2 linked regions of the Coturnix japonica genome follow. The protein of the gene in region 1 purifies or fractionates together with the protein of each later gene. This does not show direct contact. Links are inferred from orthologs where the notes say so. Each region holds a gene or a part of one and is shown on either strand. Other genes may lie near its edges.

The links. Proteins that work in one complex are often made in the same cells at the same time.
Region 2: the proteins of HNRNPA2B1 (region 1) and HNRNPH3 fractionate together in Homo sapiens (co-fractionation; 3 studies listed by BioGRID and IntAct, with this or other methods). This does not show direct contact. The link is inferred for Coturnix japonica from reciprocal best matches to the Homo sapiens genes HNRNPA2B1 and HNRNPH3.

Annotation. Positions count from the first base shown.
Region 1 is NC_029517.1:29,444,294-29,448,352, reverse strand, and holds part of HNRNPA2B1 (heterogeneous nuclear ribonucleoproteins A2/B1), read left to right. Parts: intron 1-283; coding exon 284-346; intron 347-736; coding exon 737-856; intron 857-1,093; coding exon 1,094-1,216; intron 1,217-1,770; coding exon 1,771-1,832; 3' UTR 1,833-1,853; intron 1,854-2,006; exon of another isoform or gene 2,007-2,937; intron 2,938-3,181; exon of another isoform or gene 3,182-3,572; intron 3,573-4,059. UniProt on the Homo sapiens protein: Heterogeneous nuclear ribonucleoprotein (hnRNP) that associates with nascent pre-mRNAs, packaging them into hnRNP particles.
Region 2 is NC_029521.1:8,605,813-8,610,612, reverse strand, and holds the start of HNRNPH3 (heterogeneous nuclear ribonucleoprotein H3), read right to left. Parts: upstream 3,040-4,800; 5' UTR 2,925-3,039; intron 2,693-2,924; exon of another isoform or gene 2,495-2,692; intron 2,332-2,494; exon of another isoform or gene 2,202-2,331; intron 1,659-2,201; 5' UTR 1,641-1,658; coding exon 1,523-1,640; intron 1,021-1,522; coding exon 882-1,020; intron 353-881; coding exon 165-352; intron 1-164. Other genes in the region: PBLD (phenazine biosynthesis-like domain-containing protein), read left to right, coding at 3,279-3,362.

The DNA of each region.
Region 1 (4,059 bases):
CAGGAGCTCTGCAGTGAGGGGTTTCTTTCTTGAACATCTGAATTACATACAAGCAAACCGGGTTAGCTACATTCAAAACTAACCCAGTACTTTACAAATGCAGGAAAGTAGGTGGTGTAAAGGAATCATAGATCAATGTTTTTTTTTCATGTACATTCTATCCAAATTCAAGTTTGTGTACTTTATCAGTCTGTGAGATTTGCATCTTAAGGTCGTATGGTTTAGATAAAAATTAGTTTGCTTCAGGTGAATTGAAATGCATGTATGTTTTTTCCTCCAACAGATGGGTATGGGAGTGGCCGTGGGTTTGGTGATGGGTATAATGGATACGGCGGAGGGCCTGGAGGTAAGTTTGCTTCTGTTTATATTTTTACTTTTCTTCCTCTCACTTAGAACTGTTTATACGTTCATTTACTGTTCGTGTAAAGCTTTCAAAGTGCTATAGGTATTTCATTGGCTTTAAGAAACATTTAAAACTATTGGCTCACATTATAGCTGATGTGGGAAATTGTATGATTATGTCTTGAAAAGCCATAGCCCTCTTTAGAATCGATGCTTTTAGGCAGTCTGGGTAGTGGGTTTTGGTCACAGTTCAGTTGGATGGGAGTTGGATGTGTATCTTCTGAAAACTACTCTTTCCCTTCCCTTGTAGACTTTTCTAGCGAGAAATATCCTGTGTAGAACTTGGTTACCTTCTACACTGGAGAGTTTATTTTAAAGGATTATATTGTCATAGGTGGCAACTTCGGTGGCAGCCCTGGTTATGGAGGAGGAAGAGGAGGATATGGTGGAGGAGGACCTGGATATGGCAACCAGGGTGGGGGCTATGGAGGTGGCTATGACAACTATGGAGGAGGTAACTTACTGGCTTGAAGTGATCAAGATTCAGTTGTAAATTCGTACAAATCATGAAATTTGGGAGGGGTGTGCTGGAGTGAGCAAATCTTATAAATCTTATAAATGGAATGAAAAAGCAGCTGATTTCATCTGTTGCTGGACTACATGTATGATTTTGTTTTTTTAATTGTACAAATAGAATTCAGTGAACACTGTAGCTCATCCAGGTGTGTCTATTCTTGTATTGATAATTCAGGCAATTATGGAAGTGGAAATTACAATGACTTTGGAAACTACAACCAGCAGCCTTCCAATTATGGTCCAATGAAGAGTGGAAATTTTGGTGGCAGCAGGAACATGGGGGGACCATATGGTGGAGGTATGTCTAGATATCCTTTGGAGTGAGACTGGGCAAGCTTCAGTCCTTTAGGGAGGTGGGAGGGTGAGAGACAGGTAAAAACTGCTAGCTTCTATGTTAAAAACCCATGTTTGTTCTGTGTAGTATATGAGTTACAACTTGTAACAAACACTAAACTTACTGGGATTTCTCCTATTGCTTTCTTGTTCTAATGTCACCTTTTCCTGTCATTTTCTGCTTTTGAAATGTAATTTAATATGGTGTATGAAACTTGTGGAATGGAAACCAAAACAAGAAAGCCTTTCTTGTAAGGTTCAGCTTGCAGATAAATAAGCCTTGCAGTGAGGCTCAAAGTTATATCAAATTACATGTGGCCCTTCTTGAGTCTTCTGAGACTTCAGTGTGTAGTTGTGGCACTTCCTAGGCATTAGTAAGAGAACTTAGTGAAGTGTTAAAAGCTGGATGCGCCATCTCTGGAAGTGAACGGGATGTTAATTTTGATAGAGTAGTCAGAAATATTCTGAGGTTGAAGGGCAGAGACTTAAGTGCTGTTTCTCGCTTTGTTGTAATTGTAGGAAACTATGGTCCCGGTGGCAGTGGAGGAAGTGGTGGATATGGAGGGAGAAGCCGTTACTGAGCTTCTGCAAGCTTGCCATGGGTAAGTATGTTTTTTAAGTGCTAAAATTGCAGTGATTCGTGAGAGTAGCTGCAGGAGTTAAAAGTTTTTTTAGGATGTTATCTTTCCTATAAAAAATGGTTAGCTGAATAATTTCATAACCTATTTTTTTACTCTTTACTTCTGTTGAAACAGGCTTCACTGTATAAATAGGAGAGGATGAGAGCCCAGAGGTAACAGAACAGCTTCAGGTTATGGAAATAACAATGTTAAGGAAACACTTATCTCAGTCATGCATAAATATGCAGTGGTATGGCAGAAGACACCAGAGCAGATGCAGAGAGCCATTTTGTGAATGGATTTGGATTATTTAATAACATTACCTTACTGTGGAGGAAGGATTGTAAAAATGCCTTTGAGACAGTTTCTTAGCTTTTTAATTGTTGTTTCTTTTTAGTGGTCTTTGTAAGTGTAGAAGCATTCCTTTGATAATGTTAAATTTGTAAGTTTCAGGTGACATGTGAAACCTTTTTTAAGATTTTTCTCAAAGTTTTGAAAAGCTATTAGCCAGGATCATGGTGTAATAAGACATAACGTTTTCCTTTTAAAAATTTAAGTGCGTGTGTAGAGTTAAGAAGCTGTTGTACATTTATGATTTAATAAAATAATTCTAAAGGAAATATTGTGTAATTTTAGATTTTTTTTTTAACGTTGTAAAATAAGGAAAGGAGTGGGTAGTATAAGGTCCCACAAATAATACAAAGCTATTGTTGTACGTGTAAAATTAAATGCTGGTCAGAAAAAAAAAAGTATGTTGTCTTTAAATGATCAGGTTTAAAGTATCTAGATAACTTAAGGGGTATCTCTGCAAGGAGAAACACCTTTTTAGATCTTTTAGATGCTGCTTCTTCAATGGCAAGGAAAGGAAATATCCCCAGCGAGGTACTCTTCCAGGGACACAGGTCTAGTACAAGAGAACTCTTGAAAACGTCACTAAGTTCAGCCAGTCTTAAAAAGCTGCGCTGTATCTCTGCAAAGCTTTAACTACAATAGTTGTATAAGGATGCCAACGAAGGCTGAGGGAGTAGAGCAAACTTAGTTCTAAGCTTCAGTTAAACTTCTTTAGGTAAGATCTTATTTACTTTTTTCCTTTCTTAATGTTCTGAAACTGAGAAACTAATACTATGTGACAGTATTCTTTCAGTTATGTAGTAATTGTTGTTATGTAGTTTAACATAGCAATGAATTGTGTTAACAATTATCAACTGAAGAGAAATATGTGAAACCTGTTTTCTTGTATTAAATTTTCTACATACAAATTTTTTGTTAATTTCAGCTACTTAACATATTTTTTTCCTACTGGAATCTAGCTATGATATGAATCCTGGACAAGCATAGACTGCTGCCACTGTACTCTGCTACAGTTGAACAAATGAGACCTGCAAGTGTCCATTAGTAAAGCTTTGCAAGGGTTCCATCCCTGGTGTTGGTAGTTAAAATGGTAGGTCACATGTTAATTAAATCATACAACTTTATTTATGCATCCTGCAACATTTTATTTTTTCTTGGGAGACTATGCGTTACGGTGGTTGCAAGGTAATGCAATGAAGGTAGCGCTGTGCTGTTGAAAATGAACTGTGTTGTTATGTGTCTTGTCTGCTGTAATCTATAACGCGTTTCATCCTGAAGGTTCCCAAGTAACTTTAGACTGTTTACGTGTAAGGAAAAAAAAAAAATTGCACCACAGAATACATCTGCCTCTGTGAAGGAATGTGTCGTCCATTCTTGTAACTGCATAAGCAGTTCTTTAGGAGGAGAAGTGAAAGCTTCGAATGAAACTGCAGGTGGTATTTTATGAGTGTACGATGCCATGACCTAAATTGGAATTTGGCTAGAACGATGAGGTTTCCACCATTTTTTATAGTTCTTGCAGCTAATAAACCTTAGTGCCAAATTCAGTCAGCCTTACTCTCATTGCATTGAATGTTTGATCCTCAAATTAACGAAAATTTGCCAAGTAATGAGTCATCGGAGTAAGGGTGGCGTACTCCGTACGATCTGGTTTTTAAACAAAAACCCACAAAACATTTAAAAAAAGAAAAGCCCGCATCCTAATTTCAAAGCTCATTGCTTTTGACAGGCTAATTACTGAAGAACGTGGACTCAGCTAACGACAGTCCTGTTCCTTTTGTGTTAGACACACCAGTGAACTGCTTATACTTCTTTTTTAAAATGGCTGAAGTTCCCC
Region 2 (4,800 bases), on another chromosome or scaffold:
AAATACTAATAAGCTGCATTTCTTTTTCCCCCATACAAGTACAAAAATTCCTTTTGAGAAGCATGTCAAACCTAACAGGAAGCTACTGCCATTTCTTTATTTCTTGACAAAGACGTCAGAAACATGAAACTGACAACAGAACCTCTATCATTAGATAAACATACCACCGTCATATCCACCACCTCCTCGACGCATTCTGTCATACATACTTCCACGCCCAGCTCCATAATAACCCCCTCTTCCTCCTAATGGTCTATCATAGGGTCCAGGTCGCTGCTGTCCCATCATCCTTCTCGGCATGTCAGAGAATCCTCTGATTTCGCTCTTACTACTTTTGAAGATTTCAATGTATCTAAACAAGAGAGGAGTTTCAAGGTAGAAATAAGAATGCACGTATAAGCTGTGTGAACAGTAGAAAAAAATAACTAAACGTACGATGTGATGAAAATGACTACAGATACCACAGAACTTAAGTTCCTCCTCAAAACCGTTAAGAATCTTTAAGTGTATCAAAGTAAAACTTTACAATGGCAGAAGTTACAACGTGAAAATTCTAGTTCCAGAAATTAAAATATAAAAACATGTCTTTCCAGTATGAGAAACATACTGTTGAAAAACAATGTCTGGCTATGGCAGCACTTAGCACAAATTCCCCTACACGAAAAACGACTGCAACAACATTCTAAGTTTAGCAATCTACACAGAGTAATACTGTCTCCCCCACCCCCCACATCTACCATATTTCCCAATTTAGGATCAGTTATAACAATTCTTTTAAAATACCCCATTCCATATAATAGTCCCCAGCCCCCCAAAAGCATTACTGTCCCACAACCCCCAAAAATAACCATTTAACACCATCCCAAACTCTCCATCCCCACCTGTGCCCTATTCTTTCCTTGTGTTTCCCCAGAGCATTTTCTGCTATCTCCTTTGAAGCAAACTGCACGAAGGCCTCCCCTGTGCTTCTCCCCTGGTAGTCCAGCGTCAATGTTATCCCATTTGGCACGATTTCCAACCCTTTAACCCAAGGACAAATAACCCCATCAAGGGGAACAGTGTTAAAGGCTGAAACATTCCCATCTGTAGAAAATACTTAAAGCATCTAAACAATAACAACGAAAAAAAAAACTCTTCAGTTCCCCCATCACCCAACAATACAAGCCCACGATCTTTCATTACACATTTATGGATTTAGCCATACTTGTTTTGCTTTAACTATGTGCACATACACCCACCTAGGTTACACGAAGAAAACAAAGCTACCGATCAAGCAATTTAACCGCTCCAATGGCTAACGTACAGATTATAGTCATAATGCATTCACCACCTCGACTAAATTAAGACATGTATTCAACTTTACTACGTCTACAGTCATTTGAACAGGGCATACACCTCACTTAAGGCGATTCGCGTTAAAACCATCCCCCCTCCACCCCGCTAATGGGCATCACCAGTTACAGGCTCGCAAAGCATCGACTTATCTTTTACGGTCTTTATGCTTTGACTCTACTAGAGATACCTTGGAAAAACTGAACGATCTCCTCCTTGCTACAGCCGAAGGGCAGCCCGCGGAGCCGCACCACCGTCCCATCGTTGGTCGTATCGGTGGGCCCGTTGTGCTTTCCGCTCCAGTCCATTTTTGCCTAAATCAAACGCTTCCAAAAGGAAAAAAAAAAAGAAGGAAATGTTGAGATCCCACGATTCCGCACACGCTCAAATCCCCCCTTCCTTTAAATAAAAAAAAAAAAAGAACAAACAAATACGCAACGCATGAGGCAGTTTTTAATTAGCGAAGCGGTGCCGTTGTGGCTATTGAGTTCCCTGGCGAGGTTTCAGCCCCACTCGCTGCTGTCTATGGCACGTGGGCGCAGCGCGCACCCGGCCCGTCCCTTTTGTCCATGGCGGTGCCGGCACAAGGGCCGCCCGGCACGCACCGCCCGTCCTTTGTCTGCCATCCCGGCCCGTCCTGGCTGCGGCTGCTCGGCTCCTTCAGAGATCCCGGCCGTTAACCCGCAGCCAACGCGGACACACACACACACACGGCGCCGCACCGTCACCAGCGCTCGGAGGGGGGAGGGGAGCTCCCTCCCGCTCCGCCGCCATTTACCGCCGCCCCGAGCCGGGCCCCAATCCCGACACCAGCCCCACCACGCGCCCCACCACCACCGCCAGCAGCAGCAGCACAGCAGCAGCAGCACCTCCTCTGTGCTTCGAACAGCCGAGCTCCGTCCGGCCCAGCCCCGGTGTGGGGGCTCGGCACGCCGCTGATCCCGCCGGCGGTACAGCCGCGCTGTGCTCCGCACTCAAAATGGCGGCCGCTCATAACGAGGCTCCTCCAGCCGCCCCGCCCCTCCCCCGCCATGCCGCCCCCCCACGGCCCGCACCGCGCTCAAGGCCGCGCTGCCCCGAGCTGCCTCGGCGCCCAGCAGCGGGCAGCCCGCGACGGCACAGCCGTGCCCTGCCTTTATTAACACCCTCCCCCCCCGCTTACCAGGAGACCTTCGTACGGCCCTACACGCGTCCCGGCGGGAGCCGCTGCCCGAGGGAAGCCGCTCGCTCGCAGGCGGCCAGCGGGCAGCAGCCAACACAACCGCCGCGCAGGATGGCGCCCCGACCCGCGGCTATCGCGATAGCGGCGACACACGGCTCGGCCCGACCGGACGGCGGCGGAGCATGCGCAGCTCTGCCAACAAGGGACGGCGGCGCGTGCGCGGAGAGCGGGCGGCGCCTCCTCCCTCTTGTCACGTGGGCGGGGCAGCAGCGCTTCGGGCGCGCGCTGTGTTCGCGCGCTGCGGCTGTTGGCGCCAAAGCTGCAGCGCCGCCATTCACCACACAGACACCATCCTCCTCACACAGACACCATCCTCACACAGCCGCCATTCCTTCTCCTCACACAGCCGCCATTCTTTCTCCTCACACACCCGCAGCGCTCGGTGTCCCGTCGGGCGCTGCTCCGTTCAGCTCCCGGCTCAGGAAGGGAGATGGGAAAGCTGTGCTGCTCGCTTCCCCTCCGTTGTCCAGCTGCAAGTTTAACATCGACCTGCAGAGTCTCAGCAGCTCCCGCCTGCGGAATGGCCCGTTGTGGCGCCGAGGAGCTGGGTCGGAGGATGGAGCTGTACCCGGTACCGGCTCCGGGGCCTCGGCAGGAGGATGGAGCCCCGCGTGCTCGGAAGTGACGAGCGGGCTCCTCCTGCCGCTGTGGGAGCATAAGTGGGGCTGTACTGAGGCAGGGCGCCATAGGGAGCACAGGGCAAAGGCCGGGGAGCGCCGCGGCGATGCAGGTCCCGGTTTTCACGGTTGACGCCTTTACAAAGCGGCCGTTCTGTGGAAACCCCGCGGCAGTTTGTCTGCTCGACAATGTAAGTGTGAAAAAGAAACGAACAGGACTTTAACCAGGTGTTCGCCGTGCTTGAGCCGAGCTCTGCGGAGCGAGGTTGCCTCGGGCTGCTGCCTCCAGGCACGGGCAGTTATAACGGGTTCTCCTTATCGTTTGCCTTTCGAATGAGGTGGGGTTTTTCTGTTTGTTTCCTGTGGAAGAGAAGGGAGACACGTCAGTCCTGTGTCTGAGTCACTGTGCGTCCTGTGACAGGCAGCTCTTACCGCAGGTTGCACGGTGCGGTGCATTCAAATGCAGTCACTCATGTGAAGGTGCTCTGAGAAGTTGGTGCTAATTCATTCACTACCCCCCAGAACCTGTTATTAGACCAGGTTAGAAACGTGCGTGCCTGGTCTTATTTGTGTGGTATTGCTTGATGAAAACTTTCAGAATGGGAATGTAAATGGAGCGGTCTGTCAGTCACACTGACCCTCTGAATCCTGCCCAGCTCTTCCTGATCCCCAGCAGATCTCATACCATATAGCACGCTTACAAAGGCAGCAAAGCTGGCGCAGAACATCTCACTTCAGAGCTGCTTTTGGCTATCTACAATCTGAACACTCTCTCTGAATGCACTTTAAACTTGTAGACTTCTAATTGTGATTCTATGTTAGTTTTACCTGACCATGTTAATACGTTCAGAAGGTGATTTCTGTGTTGCCTACGGCATGTTGAGGCTTTAACATTTCCTCTACAGGCTTCAGGGTCACCAAAGCTGAAGTTCTAATTAATTTTATTCTCAGCTCCAAGAACATATGGAGCAGTGAGCACTGCTTCTGTCCTCTGTTCCTTTCCAAGCCTCACCAGCTGCTTTATAACAACTGCAGTACAGCAGAAATGGTGATGCAAACCCTTCCCGAGCTTCAGTAGTGCCACATGATGGCAGTATTTCAATAAAATTCTATTCTTTTCAGCAAAATGTTGGCTGGGCTTTGTTCTGGTTTGGTATTTTTGTAGCAATGCTTTTCTGGTGTAAAGGACAGACTGTAAAAGGTCAGAATGTTGTCTCATTGTATGGATTTCAGCAGGATTGGTCTGCTATGCCTGTCGCTAACTGTTCTGTATCAATAGCGCTGGATCGTTGGTTCAAAGGATTAAGGTTATTAAGGGAAAAAAGTCAAGCTAGCAGGGCAAAGTTCACTCTGTCCCAGGTTGAATTTGACCGGGTCCACTTAGTACATTTCCATTTGTACGTTAGTGTTTTATAGACCAGACTCTTGAACCTGGCCAGTCTGTGTGACTGTGGGGAAAGGAACAAGAGTGAAGTAACAGCTTGTCCTGCCGCTACACCTCATGTGTCCTCCCAGCGGTGCAGTGAGCTGCAGCACATTTCTTCCTTCAGTTCAGTTTCTCATTCCTACTTTTACTGACTTAGCATGTTGCCCCTGTTGCTCAATGAGTAACCTTGAGGGTACAGCAGT